Drosophila melanogaster: one gene and its partners. The protein of the gene in region 2 purifies or fractionates together with the protein of the main gene of each other region. This does not show direct contact. Each region holds a gene or a part of one and is shown on either strand. Other genes may lie near its edges.

Region 1 (6,167 bases), on a different chromosome or scaffold from region 2:
TTCTCGTGTACTTATCATATGTGCTGATATGATAGCGAAATATACACGCCTGTTAACTATTATGGTATAATAGACTGTTCAAGTTCGCTCTTGAGATAAGAAAAGGCCCATTAATCCATACGGAATTACTAAGCAATATGTGCGATACTATGCAACAGCTAGACATCTTCTAATAAATGGTAAAACCATTGAAATTGATTAAGAAACTGAAAACCATAAAATGGCTTATTGTTCTTGAAAGTTGCCAATCACAATCTGATATGATCACGTGAACTTCATAAACCATTCAGGCCATTGTAAATATCCACTTGATAATCGAATTTCGTACTAAGCTCAACTATCAGTGCTTTATCGATGCCATTCCTAGAATCGCGATTAGATTGACCAATGCAAATGTGTGTCAACCAAGCTATAAACCGATCAGTTAAGTTTCCCAACCGCGGAACTTTGAACTTTTCTCACCAGGGGACTCCATTCAGCCCGAAAATTCCACAGTATAATCAGTTCTATTTTCGATCTATGATGAGCACACAATCTTTATTGTTGATTTACGTCACTTTACTGAATTTATGTTTAATACTTGACCACGTGAGTTATCTTAATATAGCCTGAATAGCAACAGAGCCATCGCACTGACCAGGATCGTGGTGATGGATGAGGTCAGAGAGGGACTGCCGTTCTCTTTTAAGGAATCCTCGATCCAGTTGAGCACTGGATCACGATTAACTTCCAACCAAGCGAAGTTGGATGTGATTCTGGAGTCAATGGTGGTGCTCAGATCATCATTGATATAACTCGGTCCATCAGCCTCCACAACATCCACCAAAGCGTTAAGCTGTCATATAATTAATAAATAGTAAATTAAAAGTCTGCTTTGAATTATAAATTAAAAAAAAAAAACGTACCCTCGTCTTTTGCTTCTCACTGACCACATAGGTGGCAATGCCACGCAGGGCAGCATCCAGGGGCTTTGCAGAGTCTGAAAGGTTGGCATATGCCTCCCAGTTGCTCTCCAGGAATTCCAAACTAGCGGTAAGACCGATTTCACTGCGGGAATAGGCCGAGTTTAGAAGGGAAGTGCGCTCCGAGTAGCTCAAGCTATTGTTGGTGTCCAGGGATAGTCTCAAGAAATCAAGCAGCTGGCTCGTACTTCCAGAGCAGCCCAACGAGGAGATGAACAGGCTGCGATCGGTGGAATCTGAGGAACTGAGCAAATCGGACTGCACTCTGCTATAGATTTCATTGGTAGTCGATCGGAGACCAGCACAGTAGGCTTGAGTCTTTAGAGTGGCCTCAATGGCTGTGCCATTGTATAGGTACTCGGATAATTTATTGGCCGACTGGTTATAGCAATCATCGGATCCCACCTGGCAGGCCAAGCTGACCAGCACGATGCGCAGATAGTTGTTCAGATAATGCTCGCCGGGAATCTCGTTTACACCGATTTTATCGAAGATGGGATCGATCAGGCGCTTCACGAAATCTTGGAAGTTGTAGTAAGAATCATCGCCACGCAAGTAACGATCGTAGACGGTCAGAATAGTGTTGGCAGTGGACCAAGGAGCATACTGCTGCTCATTAGTCAGGTAACCCAGCAGCTCCAGCAGGATGCTGTGGCTCAGGCGATCGGTGCTGACAAAGATGTACGTATCGTACAGCAGTTGTGCCCTGTTACGAGGATGGAACCTCCAGGGCTGAGACTTCAGAGCTGCCGTAATTAGACCATAGTTCTGCGTATCGTACAGGGTGCGGTAATAGCCGGAGTTCTGGATATTCACGATTATCCAGTCATCGCTGGAAGCCTCGACATCTGAGATCACGGTCTCCGTCACATTTAGCAAGTAATGTGTGGCGCTCGTGTCACGATAATCGTACTTGTTGGCAGTGGCAAAGTTAAGTGGCACATACCAAGTTGCGCTATTTGTATCAGTTTTGTTCGCCACATAACGCTTCTGGGTGATCGTTATAGTGCCGGCATTGTAATTACGGGTCACTGTGAGCAGGGGATAACCAGCCTGGTGGGACCAGCTACTGAAGATGTCGTCCACACTGGCGGGCAGCGTAAAGCCCAGCTCGTCGGCCGATTCCTGGAAGGACGCAAATAGATCCCATTCGTCGCAAGATGTATATTGGCTGAGCGAAACAAAATAATTCCAATGTGAGATTACTGTTCAAATTAAAATGAGGGCTCTTAAGCCCAGTATATACGAGTATATCATAAAGTTAGCTTTTTAAGTTCTTGAAATATTTTAGATCTTTTGATTAATCAAAATTCTATACTCTATACATTAGAAGTTCATATATTAGGTCATTTAAGTAATGGCTTGGTACTCACTTCTTGGTCAGGTATTTGTTCAATCCAGTGCGGAATACCTTGTCCGTCCAAGCGTTCTTGAACATGTACAGAACACTGGCGGGCTTGGCGTACGAGAAGGTGTTATACCTGTTGGAGATCTCCGATGGTGTCTGAACGTAGTGCGTCATGGGAACGGCCGAGGCCAGGGCGTCGTTAAGCAGAGCGCTGTTGTAGTCGTTCACGTGGAAGATCTGATAGGTGTCCCACAGTGGGAAAGCAATGTCGTTCGATTCGTACGAGAAGAGAGTAGCAAAGCCCTCCTTGAGCCACAGATAGGTCCACCATTTGATAGATACCAAATCGCCGAACCACATGTGCGCGTACTCGTGTCCAATAATATTGGCAATGTTCGTCTTCAGGTTGATCGTGGAGTTCTGCTTGTTCCACCACATGTACTGCTCACGATAGGTGGCCAGACCCCAGTTCTCCATGGCACCGGCAGAGAAGTCCGGTATTCCAGCTTGATCTAGCTTGGGCAGGGCGAAGGGAACCCCAAAGTAGCTAGCCAGACTGGACTCCACAAGCAATCCGGACCAAAGGGCCCATTCCTGCTGATCCTGCTTTCCCTTGCGCGAGAAAACCCGCTGGCGGATGCCATTCAGTTCTCCGGTGGTGGACTCAAAATCGGAGACGATGAAGGCCACCAGGTAGGTGGACATCTTTGGCGTCGTCTGGAAAGCAGTGACTCCCGAGCTGGAAGGCGAAACCGTCAGTATGTTAGCATTTCTTACATGAAAAGTATCGATTGCAATTGTATCTAGCATTGTCAACACTGCGAATGAGTAATGTTTCCTCTATGCTTGTATATATATTCGTAAATCATACCTGGTGGCAGCGGTGTTTACTGGCATATTGCTGATGGCAGTGTAGGAGGGATCATGGTGGATGGTAATCGTAAAGTTAGCTCTACGGGCAGGCTCATCGTAACAGGGAAACGCGTGACGGGCGTTTGTGCTCTCGAATTGCGTGGTGGCCAAGAAGCTGAAAGAAATTGTTATATACATTAACGACTCAGTTAAACCGATAATTAATCTTTATTTGGTAAGCGCGTATCATCGTACTAATAACAGATTATAAAGATAAGCCAAATTGTGTCTCTTGATAAGAAATGAAACTAGCCGCAAGTACTCAATCAGGTACAATTGTAATTAATAGCACGATAAGCTTTTGTACTTTTGCAATTTATTCCCTCATCCATTAGAAGGCTAACCTAAGTATAATTTTCTATAAAGGTAAAAGGGTAAAGGCTGTGCAAGCTCATAATAAAATAATGGTATTATTTTGTATAGTCTTCGTAAAATATCAACTTACTGCTGTTCGCCATCATCGTCCGTATAACTGGAGATATAGAAACCGCCCATATCAGATCGGTGGATGCCAGTGTAGTTGATGGTGATGGTCCAGTTGGTGTTGGCTCCAAATGCCTCACCAGCGGTGGTCTGCGTAAGGACGAGGAATTCGCGCTGCAACTCGGGGGTTACAGTGAGTGGAATTGCCGTGGGCGTGGCCACATCCCGGCTGATAATCGTCGCTTCAAAATTCGACGTCTGGCGATAGTGAAGCGTAATATTCGATGTCTCGTTCAAAACCCGGATATCGATATTGACGGTGCCATTGAATTCGGTATCGCCATTATGGACATTGGTCCAGAGTTCCACGTTGTAGGACTCCGGTTCCGTTGTATTTGGCAGTCGGTAATTGCCGGCACTATTATCATCCACGCGGGAGGTGGCAAAGAGGGCTGCTCCCTTGGTCTCCAGCTGTCCATCGTCCAGGGATAAGGGAAGGATCAGGCGCGCCTGTAGGCTGCACACTGCCAGGAGCAGGATCAGCGAAAACGAGTTAAGCAGCCACCGTGCCATGTTGGCTGCTCGGTAAAAGACACTTTGTTATTGAGCGGCCGCCGCTTGAACACGGCATTTTTATGGACTTGGCCATATCTAATCCTCAACATCGATCGCCATAAAGATTGTTGCGCAATTCTCGATAAAACGTGGCAAAGCCACGGTTATTGGCCCAGAGTGCACTGGGACAAGTCAAATGTGAAGTATGATTGGGCTGTAAAACAATTAGTCTACGAGAGTTTTGAAGATGGTACTCTATAGTGTAAAAAATCCCCTCGGTAACATTTTAATTATTCAGTAGCGTAACGCTTATCAAAATAAAGCAGGATAACATTACTTTTTTGTTAATCAAATTCCTATTATTAGTTTCATCATTAGGAGCAGTAAATTTTTGAATTATGGCTTCGTCTGGGACGACTAAGTATTTGAAAGTACGAAAAAATGCAAGTTGTTATAGTGCTATAATCAAAACAGTCATAAATACTCGTGAAAAACGCTAATAAGTATCAATTAATTTTACGAGGTGCTACATTTTAAATATATCAAATTTGTATGCTTTAATATTCAGTAATCATTGTACAAAAACTAACAAACTTAAGTAATGGCTTTGTTCAGTTTTGTATATTTTTATACGACTTATTGAATGTCCAAAATTGTTATAAATTTTTCAAATTGCTTTTTAATGGCCAGAAATACCCAGAAATAATTACTAGTCTTTGCGTAAAAAAGTTATAGTCATTTGATCGGGTTTTTATTATCGATGACTTTTGTGTTTTATACTTGCTTATCAATTCCCCACGGAGGCGTTTCAGACAAATCGATAACGTCTGTAGTTAATTTAGAATGTGTTGAAAAGCTCTTGGCTGTTGAATGAATTGACTCGATTGTTTTGTTTTGAAAAAAATTAATTTATTCGTAATTAAGCCTGTACTTATGTGATACCTAGTTAGACCAAATGTCTGGTCACCTATACATATCTACTATTCGTAACGCACTGCGCAACACCCTAGTCGCCTCCTTTAGGACTCCTTGAGGACGACTTGACCCATTGGCCGCGCTGAGGGAGGCGGACAAAAGGGCATCACTTCTGCTGGTCGCCTGAGGAAGCTCATTGAGCAGCCATTTGTGGATCTGCTGCTCGAACTTGTCCTGGAAATTTTCGGTGATTTTCATCTTTTTGCCCACCAGCGGAGAATCGACCTCGATCAGCGTTTGGTTCGTATTAAGACCCTCCTGCATCATGTGGTTCGCAATTGTCTGGCGTAGCCTCTCAAACTGAAAAGAGATATGTGTGAACAAAACGAGTAGGATATGAAATAGATATAAACTCATTACATGTGATCTCTGATGTCTGGGCACAAATCCAGCGAGCTGTTTAAAGTGCTCTAAAAAGTTTGGTGCTCGACAGAGCACCTTGTAGTTGCGCTCGATATACTGCCAGATGACCGGACGAGAGGCCAGATTCGACTTGTATATGTAGAGGAGATACATCAAATCTTCGAATTCGGAAAGGACCATATGGGTGGAGTTTTCACCCATCAGACCTTCCAGATAGTATAACAGATGCCGATGACTCTGCGTGCACCGGAGGGCATATATAATGTCATCATAGTATACCGAAGCTCGATCTATTTCCTGCATCATATCAATTATCCTTTGGAAGTCCTGATCGCTTAGATACCGAACTCCCATGCATAACACGGAATCGATTATGGCATGGTAGTCTGATCCATCTTTAAAATAAATTTTATCGATTATATGCTCCTTAGCCAGGCGACGTGTGTATTCCAGGCACTCGGGAAGATCCGCAGAGCAGGCGATTTCTAGAATCCCACGGAACATCCCATCTTCAGCTAAATTTACACCTTGTTCCACGTAAACTCGTCGAAAAGTCGGGCCAACCAGGCGGCGTACAAACTCATTGAAGAGGCTCTGGGAGGAGGTGCCATGCAAGTTTCGTGTTAGAC
Region 2 (5,383 bases):
CGAGGAGGAGGAGACACCCAGTGGTGCCGAGTCTTCCACAGAGGCTGTGCGCGATGCCTCCGAAGACTAGATGATGCCACAGCCGCCCTTCTGGAATGGAATGTTTGGATCAACGAATTTTATTCTCAAACTTCCCCAATGCCCCCATTAGCCTTGCAAACCCTTACCCGAAATCCACACCGTGGTCGAAGCAATTATGAAACGTACGATTTTCCCTGGCGATTTTACCCAAGCACAGATATGTGAAACTATATACCATAACCGATATATATATATATACATTATACATTATAAATTAGCTGGTTCCATACATATAATGTGTCTTTTTTTTTTAAAAATGAAAACCATAAATTGCTGTAATTGAATGAGAACAATTCGTTTTGAATAATTCATGAGTGGTGTGAAAAGCCAATTGGCTGGGAAACTTTGTAGCATTGTATTTGGTAACTAGTTAGCCATATTTAATAGGTCTAAACTTTTTTTTTCGATTTTCCCTTAAGTAGGCATTAAGACGTGATATCTGTTTATATTCGAATTAAATTTTATTGATGCAGATAGTGGGATCTAGTAGTATAAAATGTGATCACTGCTTGGCAATCTTGTTAGCATTGCACTGGAGATCTGTGTAGATCTGCTCGTTCTGGATTTCGTTTTTGAGCTCCGTGGTGAGCTGAACGGCTTTGTCCTGCAGAGAAAGTTGTTTTCTTTTTAAACGCCGAAGCTTAAATAAGGAAAGAGGATAACTTACGTTGAAATACACATTCTTCTTGCCCTTCTGGAATTCGCCGAACAGAGCGAAAACATCCACCAGCTTGCCGCGGGCACCAAACTTGTCCGAGATCAGCGAGAACAGATGCTTCACTGTCTCCTGCTCCACGCTGGTGGTGTCCGATCGGATGAAGATGGCACGGGGCAGCTGTACGTCCACGTTGCAGTCACGGAAGTCGGTGACCGGTCGCCGCTCCAGACTGGGGCACACCAGCTGCGCGTCCTTGTGCTTCTCCAGCTCGGAGGCGGGCACGATCTGCACCTCTCCATCGTCGCTGGATGAGACACGACAAGCGTCCAGGCCACGTCGCTTGTTCAACAAGGCGGCAGCAGCACGGGATCGTTCGCAATTCTCATTGAATTTGCTGCGGAATATTGATAGTATATGTAGCTAATGTGCTACGGATGATCGAGGGATTCCACTTACATGCTGGCCTTCTGGAGAGCCTCCCGTGTAACGCCGGGTGCTGCGACCGCCACAAGGACATCATCCTGAGCCCTCTGCTCGTAGACGATTGGCTGCAGCTGGTTGCTACGGGCATCCGCGTAGCCAGTTGCGCGAACAATGGTCAAATCCGCCTCCTTCTTGGTCAGAGCCACCACACAATCGGTGGACTGAACGCACTCGAGTTCCGGACGAGCGTCGCGGGCGTAGGCAGCCTGGTGCAGCGCCTGGCATTTGGCGAACTCGTCGTCGTTCTGGGCGCACAAGCGGATCTTCCTGATGGCACTGCCATCACGCTCGATCACATCCTTGTAGCCGGCACGCTCCAAATAGACCTTGGGATCGATGGCAGCATCCTTGCTGTGGTACACGGCATTCGGCTGGATGAGCAGATGGGCGGCGGCGTCCTTGTTCTGCGCCTGCAGTCCATTGGCGAAGAAGCGCTCCAGACGCGACTGCAATTGGTGCAGCTGCTCCGAGTTGTGAACGGCCTGCTCGTTGGAGATGTAGCCGCTCCAGGGGCGCTGGGCCCAGGAGCAGGCGGGTCCGGTGACCGGGCGCCGGGTGCCATCCTCGCACAGATATTCGAAATTCTCCGGATTGCCCTCCGCTGGCGGCGCATCTGGGCCGGCACCCGGCAGACCAAAGTACTTTTTGATGTACTGCACCTTGGAGAAGGCCACCTCGCCCTGACCCTTGTCCAGGCAGCGTATGGCGCCATCATAGCCACTGAACTTGTCCGGATAGTTGCACTGCTCCGGCTTCTCGCACAGAGCGCACAGATTGGCGTACTTCTTCTTCAGCAGGCGATCCGTTTCCGGATGCGTGGAGTAGGTGCCCACCAGGCACGACTGCGTGAAGAACTCGGACAGCGACTTCAGTTCGCGCTCCGTAGCGGAGATCTGCGGATCGGCGGACACCTTCAGGACGTGCGTGTTCTTCAGCTTGGTGATGGGGATCTTGTAGCCGACGTTGCGGCCGAAGCCAGTGTGGCAGGACTTGGCGCCACGCAGCTGCTGCAGGGTGCGAATGGGGGAGTCCTTCTTCACCAGGATAATGCCCTCGTAACGGAAGGCGGCTGTCGAGAAATGAAACCAGTAGGAGATTTATGAGTAAAAAAAAAGGGAACTAGTAACTATTTTGGTCCTTCGAGCCTTTTGCTTCGAATCGCAAATTAACAACAAAGGGCCATTAGTCATTAGTCAGTACTATACATTTTAAATACCCTTTAATTTCATTCGAAAGCATTTCGCATTTTGCTCCCACGAGCATTTGCACCACTTACCATCCTTGTCCTGCTGCGTTCGGATCTCAGAGATCACGCGATAGTCCTCGTTCTTGCGATGATAGGCGATGTACATGTCCTCCGGCTCGGTGGCCAGCACATCGGCCTTGCGCTGCTCGATCAGCTCCAGGCAGTCCACTCGATCCCGTCCAGCCACGCACTCCATGCGGATGCCCGCCTCCGAGGGATCGGCCAGCAGCTGCTGGCACTCGGCCAAATAGATTTGCGGCACACACAGGCGATCTGCCGTTTTGGGTTCGTATGAAATGGATTCAACTGGTTAGATGCATTCAACTAGTGACTCCGGGATGCACATACAAATGGGTTCCTCCGCCAGGGAGGACTGCGGTCCAAGGATCAGCAGGAGGGCGGCCACCGCCAGTGGCAGCCAGGTGTGGGTCTTATGCGGCGACATCATCTGAGAAACAGTTGAAGCTCGACTGTGGAGAATCCGGAGCCGGCTGGTGGCTTTTATAGCCACCCAGATGTGCTGCTTCTTTCCCCGGCTTTCGTGCTCTTTTTTTTTGCACTCGTATTTGTTCTCTTTCGCTTCTATTTGCCCGGCGACAAGGAGGCACAATAATACCAATACCAATACCAATAATAATAGTAATAATAATAATAATAGCAATCATAACAATAAAGAAAGAAAGACAGTCCAGGCGACCGGTTTTTCCCCGAGGAAAGGCGTGAGTGGGCGGCAATCCAGGCCTATATACTCCGGCAAACGAGTTTGCGACACTGATATATGGCTATGCCATTAAATGCGATTTTCGCAAATCAATTAGTATGCTACTCAATCCATGATCTACCTTAAGTTCGACTTTTTGCTTGTCTTCGAGACAATATATAGTATATATAATCGACAATATAATCGATCAAAATCAGAATTTAGCCTGCAGCATTTGTGTGTTTGGTAATTAGTTTTGGATCTTGGCAATAATCAAACAATGAGCCATTGAGCCATTGATTCATTGAGCCAGCGCTTTCTCTTGACAGAATTTATTTAGGCACACACACTAATTTCTTAAGCACATTCTTTACGAACATTTAAGCTGGAAAAATTGCAGTGAATAGGTTTTAAAAATAGCCTATTTAACTATTTGATTGCGATTGTCAAAAAGCGTAGTTGCTGACATACAGCTAAAATCGAGATAGAAACGGCCTGGCTGCTCTTCACTTAATTGTCTTGGCACTTGATCCCCTAATCGATCGAGCCATATACTATATACCTGAATAATTTGATGCCACCGCACCGACTGGCACTTGGTTATTTGTGCCTATTGAGTTATATAAATGCACTGGTGCCTTCAATTTCTAAGAACTCACTACCCTGCCAAATAAACGGGCAAAATCTTCTCTAGTCGCTTGTAGTTGCAGCAACCGGTTGAGTCACCACGGTGGGAGCGACGAGGAGCCAGCCACCACCCCATCCCCATCCATTCCCAATCCATGGATGTTAATCATGCGAGCCCTTAGTCCCAGGGGCATACGTACTTTAGTCACTTATTTTAGTTCTGTTTTTGCCAGCCCATTTTTCATCATTCATTTGCATTTGCATTCATCTAATGATTCGGCTACTTTAAATTCACTCTTCTTGGAAGTAAACAAATTAAGAGTAATTGCCTTTTATTTATACACTCCGAGGGGATATTTTTTGAATTTTTAATTGGACGCATAACTACGATCTTGAGATGGCCAATTTGAAAAGTGCAAGTATTTATTATGATAATTTAAATGATTGCACTGCGTTTAGATAATTTGCAAGCAAAATCTAGATTTATATGTTATGCGAAATTGTTTTATATTCCTAAAAATGCAGGGGATAAACTTCGAGTGGATAAACTTGGAGCTCATTTAAGCTTCTGCAAAAAGTGAGAGTATGCGCTATTCGCATATCACTCACATTCGCTTTCGCACTCGTCTCTAGTTTTATATACTTCAATTTCGCCCCGCTATCAGGGCATTTGTTTATTCAGGCCGGGCACAGAACCTGTTCCACGATGGGATCAGATCACCTAGCTAGTCACCCGCACCGGCTCGTTGCAGTAAGAGCAACGAAGAGGAGCTGTGGAGAACTGTCCACATCCAGCAGAGAATTGACGAACTGCTTAAAATGCAGGCCGTGCCTCCTCCTTTGAGGGAGGGGGCGTGGCTGGGCAATGAGTCGCGGGGGCGGCAATTGAATGATGAAGTGCAAAACGAGATCACAATGGCAAATGCCGTGGGACTTGGGACGTGGGCGTGGGCGGGGATCTTTCTAGTGGAATCGAAACCAGAAACCGAATTAGATTGCTTGGCAGTGCCGCAGATGCAAACACACACACTTCGCACTGGGCAAGGTCAAGAGCCCCGGAGCGGTCGGGAATTTACCCGGATCGCAATGGGTTGGGGATTTTTCCGAGTAGTCCGAGGTGGCCTCTTATCAGCAGTCCTCTGGCACGGAGGCTATCTGCAGCCAGGTAATAGAAGGGAGGTAATGGAGCTACGCCCAGCACAAAGTGTGTTTGTCAGCGCAAAAGCTTCGTTGCATTATTTAACCGCACGGAAAAGGCATTCATCAGGGAAATTGTATGCGATAAAAATGAAGCACTGCTACTCACTTATTTTAAGTACAAATTGCAAATCGAATGGCATTTTTGAAACAGTGATACTTACTATTTTAAATAAAAGTATATAACAAAATAATATTTTGTTAAATGTGTTATATATGAAATGAAAAATTCATTAGCTTTAACTTAATGTAGAATAATTTGTTTATAACACTTTTCATTTTTTACATTTTTGGCATGCATTTACATAGTTACATAGCATTTCAAACTGCAGTTATGGCGCGAAAAAGACACTGTAACTTAACAGCACTCGCTCTGTAGATGCAAGCACTG
Region 3 (5,234 bases), on a different chromosome or scaffold from region 2:
GCAACACGTGCAGCGATTTTGTTGGCTGTTTTGCGAGGATGTTTTTTCTATTTTCCCTCAACACTTGGTGGGTGGATGGAACGCCAAGGCCTCCTGGACATGGGCAATCGCAAAGTTTGTCGAGCAAGGCGCTTTGAAGTCTAATAGGATTAGTTCGCACAAATGTGGGCGTGTCTGTCTATGACAAATAAACGCCCTTCTGCGGCTGTGTATCTGTATTTCTTTGCTATAAATAATATTCAATATTGCTAAGCAAATATTTGGCATGCGAATATTCCTAGACGAGGATTTCTTATATCAGTAAATATTTATCATATCCATGGCTGGCTTGCTTGAGGCCAACGAAAACGAGTAATCTCTGTTTTGCCTTGAAAAAGTAATAAATAAAAATCTGTAAAATTCTTTGGTCTCCCCGGGTGGTAAATTGGGACTATTAGATACATTATAAGCTTACCAAAAGTTTCTTGGCTAAAGCTATCTACCCACTGCATTCATTAGGTGTCAATACTCGCTTGTATTACTGCCTGCACATATTACAATACATTTATTTTTGTAGAGTGTAATTAGAAACGATAAAACACCACATAAACGCGCACAAGTTTGGTTAGTTATAAGTTAATAGCAAAAAGTGTATATGATTCCAAGAGTTTTCCGTTTTCAAGTCCGTTTCCATTGATTCTTAAAATCATCTCTGTTAGTTGGAGCAATCATCTAGGCCTTGTCAATCACACGATCATTGAAGACAATCCTTAAATCGGTCTTGGCCATGTTGCCAAAGGCACCGACCAATTCGGTGAGATTGGCATTGGGCAGGCGCCTATCGAAGGGATAGCCCATGGTGCGTCTGTCAGGATACAATTTGTCCTTCAGACCACAGAACGAGTACGCCGTGCTGCAGGCATCGTTGGGTCTAATGGGCGACAAGGAGAATGTCAGCTGATGATGGGAAATTGGGTTTATAGCACTCACGTTTTGGGCTGCTCAACGGAGTCCTGCGAGTAATCGGAAATCATGACGAACAGGTCGAAGACCATTCCCTGGGCATTGCCCTTGGGCAGCAGGAGATGCTGTGGCCACCCACATCCGCAAAACTTGAAGCGTGCCAACTCATCGGCGGCCTTGGGCTGATAGTCTGCTCCAACCGGGCGGAATGAGCGCTCGAAGGGAATGGCCACCGAGGACTCTGTCGACTGGCGGCGTATGGTGTTCTCACCAGGCACCACTGGGGATTAATTAAAGTATGTTAATAGATCGTAGGAGGTTGTCAGTAGGGAAAAGTATAAGCTAAAATCACTGGCTAGCTTTGTACGAAAGAAACACTTTTTAAATACCAAAATATTAAATAAATATATATACTAAGAAATACAGTTATTACTCACAATCAACTGTGAACTTGTCCATTTCGATGGCCAACAGTCGCTGCTCCTCCAGATTCAAAGCCTGATTACGCTCATCCACCTTGGGGCAGATGAAGATACGGCAAGTACCCGTTCGTCTGGCTCCATTATTGGTCACATTGAATGTATAAGTGAAGGGGGCATTCTGGAGATGGGTGAACGAGGCGAATATGTTGCGATCGGTCGTTGGTCCAAAGTCCAGGCCAGCTGCCAAGTCGGCACTCGACTTCTGCCAGTAGGTCAACAGGGTGTTGGCCTTGGTATTGGACTTGCCAATCTTGGCCTCAATGTAGTCCACGGTAATACCATCGAAGTTAAGCTCACCGGCATTGTACGGGTTCAGGCGAGTCTTGAATTTGTTGAACACCGTGTCGATGAATCCGTGCCACCTGTAGAAGATTGGATCCCTCATGGCCGTGGTCACATCGCCCATCACACCGAATTCCTCCAAGTGACGGTAATCGGGATCGTGGGCAAAGGAGATTATGTTGTGCCCCTCGTTGTGTAGATTGCCATAGAAATTATAGTTGATGGATAGGACTGGCGATGCCTCAATCATGTTGCCCAGGATATCGATGCCACGAACTTCGTCCAATGGTATACGATTGCCAGAAGACTATGGATTAGCAAATAAAAATTTCTAGTGCTTTCTATGACCTATGCTCAATATTCCAAACGGGCCCAACTCACATCTTCAACGTATCCTTGATCTATGGCAGCCAGCACGCGATCACGCCAGCGCTCCACATCGGAGATCTCCACACGCCCATCATGGCGGTCCACGTCCCTCAGCTTTTGGTTGGTCACTCGGGCGGGATAGGTGCGGTTATTCGTGCTGGACAGGATCTTGGGGAAGTAGCCCTCGGGAACCTCCACACGCAGATTGTTCAGCGGCTGAACCTTCTTCAGATTGTTGCAGAAGCGCTCCACATTGTAGCGCGCGAGTATCTGGTGGTGCATGTAGTAGAAGAGCTCGCCACGACGATCCTTGTTGACCACCTCCGTGGGTCCGGTGGTCGGGTAGACCAAGTGCCAGTGCCAATGATGGCTATTAACACCGATGTCCTCACGGAAGTACGCCAGGCGCTGTTCATCCTCGCGATCCGAGGCCGTGTAGTTTTGCGGAATGTCCACATGGACACGAGCGCCGCTCTCTCCAATAACAGAAGCTTCCTGACGGGCATCCTGTGGTCAAATTTATAAATACACCATTAAAGACTTTGATTGGTCAAATAAAGAAGAACTTAAACGAACCCGGAAGGCGGAAGGTTCTACAAAGTTGCTCGGAAAGATCTGGGAAATGTTGGTAATGGGCACTTCACGCGTATCCGGGCGATGGGCAACGGCGACGGCATAGGCGTATTGGAACAACACAGGATTCACACGATCCCTAAAAAATTAATACATTATACAATACATATATATTTATTTTAGTACAAGTACTTACTTGGTGTAAACGGAAAGCGACACGAATTGTCTGAGATTTGGTGCGCTCATGAAGAGGGTGATCAGCTCGCTGGCGATCTCACGATGGCGATTGTTAAACAGCGAAAATTGATTCTTGAGACCAATCTTTTTGGTGAACTCCAGACTGGGAACGTTGCTCAACTCCTGAATTGGGATCTTCAGATCCACGTCCTTAGAGAATCGATTGCCCACCTCCTCGGTGTCATTGCGATAGCGATCCGTATAGAAGGAATCGGGCAGTTCCAATACAGTTTTTCCGGAGTCACGAGTGGTGAATGCCGGTTCCAGGGGTCGCTGGAACATAAGTTCCAAGGCTTTCAGATCCGTGTTAGTCATGGTTTTCTCTATGGATGTACACTTTCAACTACACTTTTAACTTCACTCAACGAAGCCAGTTGCAGAACTGTGATTTTCCCAGGAAGCCGAACTCATTTTATAGCTAACTAGCAGTCCGAATATAAAAATAATATTTTTAAAAATATTCATTATCAAGTCCCAACCGCAAAACTGCAATGGTCGAGCCTTTTTTCTCACAAATCCAAACGTTGTGGTTTAGTCGATAGCTTCTGAAAAAGCAAAAAGTGCAATACCGCAAAAGTTGTTGAGCCGCAAAATGATAAGAGAAATACTTTTAATTGCTTGCATAAAATAATATACCATTGTTGATTTTCAGTTGAATGTTGTTAAACGTGAAACTGTATTGAGCTTGTTAGATACATATACTGATTTTTTTTCAATACTGCACTGCCTAATGTATACCCACAACCAATTAATTGTTTTCAACTTTTTGAAGAGTTATTAGTTCCGGGGTAGGAAGCTTAAATTGAATTTCTTTGTCTTTGCCGAAAAAGTATCCGAGAAACCTTTTTGCGACCACGCGAAATACAACTCCCAAAGTAAACAAGCCGAAGGCCACCGGAAAAGCTTCTTATTCGCATAGAAATAACACCGAATACTTGCTCAACAGGCTGCCACGCCCCCTTAAAAAGAACCGCCCATCGCCGAATGGGAGGCCATAAATTTGGCTTGGAGCAGAGGGCTCGTCCTTCGACATGGCCCATAAATTTGGTTTTTGAAATGGCAGTGTGTAGCTGAATGTAACTAAGAACTAACTGGCAAGAGAGCTTGGATGATTAAAATATCTATACTGTAAATCAATTTTTGTCGCTACGCCGTCTGGCCAAATGAACGATGTTGGCCAAAAAGCAAAGCGAATGGCCAAACTTTTGGCCATTGTCAATAATAAATGTTTCTGCCGACTTTGGCGTTGAAATGTGTGCGCATTAATCTGTGAAATTGACAGCAACAAAAACGAGCGTAACAAGTTTGCATAAATGTGCGGGTTTCGGGCGAAAATTGAAAAGATGAATTTTCACAATTTCTGCACTCTGGCCATAACAACATGAAAATGACTTTTCTGCTCGACTTTGTTTTGCTAATGTCGATGTTCCAGCAGATACACCATCTTTTCAGTTTATGAACTATGTACGGTAAGCAATGTAAGCCAAATTTGACTACCATCAATTGAATTTTTGTTTGAAATAACTTAGGCAAGAATATTTTATACGATTTTTTGTAGATTCTTTTAAACCATGCATACCACTTATGTATGTAATATAGTAATATATTGCAGAGTATATTGAAGTTGGCTTTTCCTAGAAAACACTTGACTGCACGCAAACATTTATCCGAGCAATGTAATTTTTCATTGAATATTCAACGACAGCCATGGCAAATGTGCTCCAGATTCCAGCCCAAAAGACAAACTTGCTTTAATTAATTATAAATTGTGGAAAAGTGTGTGCTTCTGCGAACTTGGCAGTGTGAATTGAATTAGAATGAAAATGGGCCAAAGCAAAAGCTTTAGGCCAGGACACGTGCAGAGCCTGCTTTCACCGGCGAAACAGAACAAAAAAAAAGGAAAAAACCCAAACTTTTACCAACAAGTCTTAAAAACCACGCAAGTTTGTAAAAGGCGCCAAGCACTCTTTCTGTTTGGCTTTATGGGCGAAAGTCTGGTCCATAAAATGAGCTGTGGGTATGCGTTAATTACCCGCTGGCTTAAATTTTACATTTTGGCTTAAGCACTCTGCGGCCAGGTTCGAAAACACATGATGCCTCCGCCCCAAAGAACATTCCAAACTATTCATTAGTTGTGGGCCAACCGCAGGAATTTGCGGCAGTGTGTTATCAAAATTTCGAGTGGGCTACGCTTTCAATTGTTTGCCCACTTGGGCACCAAACTGATTAAAGTTTCATGGCTCTAATCTGTTTGCAACTTATCAGCTCCATTAATGTGGGTGGGCTTTCATGAACAGGGAAAGGGTTTGAAAAAGGGTGTCGAAATTGAGTGGGTCTTGTTGGTTTAAT

What was found.
Region 1: the proteins of Tsf1 (region 2) and CG31343 purify together in Drosophila melanogaster (affinity purification with mass spectrometry, with the first as the bait; one large-scale study listed by BioGRID). This does not show direct contact.
Region 3: the proteins of Tsf1 (region 2) and PPO1 purify together in Drosophila melanogaster (affinity purification with mass spectrometry, with the first as the bait; one large-scale study listed by BioGRID). This does not show direct contact.

The regions. Positions count from the first base shown.
Region 1 is NT_033777.3:21,743,356-21,749,522, reverse strand, and holds CG31343 (uncharacterized protein), read right to left. Parts: upstream 4,258-6,167; 5' UTR 4,219-4,257; coding exon 3,668-4,218; intron 3,338-3,667; coding exon 3,182-3,337; intron 3,050-3,181; coding exon 2,336-3,049; intron 2,134-2,335; coding exon 906-2,133; intron 836-905; coding exon 599-835; 3' UTR 520-598; downstream 1-519. Other genes in the region: CG5849 (uncharacterized protein), read right to left, coding at 5,164-5,475, 5,536-6,167.
Region 2 is NC_004354.4:18,385,482-18,390,864, reverse strand, and holds Tsf1 (transferrin 1), read right to left. Parts: upstream 3,782-5,383; 5' UTR 2,917-3,781; coding exon 2,817-2,916; intron 2,742-2,816; coding exon 2,499-2,741; intron 2,292-2,498; coding exon 1,196-2,291; intron 1,134-1,195; coding exon 749-1,133; intron 686-748; coding exon 584-685; 3' UTR 521-583; downstream 1-520. Other genes in the region: Nt5b (5' nucleotidase B), read left to right, coding at 1-70.
Region 3 is NT_033778.4:17,886,701-17,891,934, forward strand, and holds PPO1 (prophenoloxidase 1), read right to left. Parts: upstream 3,274-5,234; 5' UTR 3,201-3,273; coding exon 2,845-3,200; intron 2,788-2,844; coding exon 2,652-2,787; intron 2,583-2,651; coding exon 2,088-2,582; intron 2,014-2,087; coding exon 1,380-2,013; intron 1,223-1,379; coding exon 970-1,222; intron 911-969; coding exon 712-910; 3' UTR 520-711; downstream 1-519.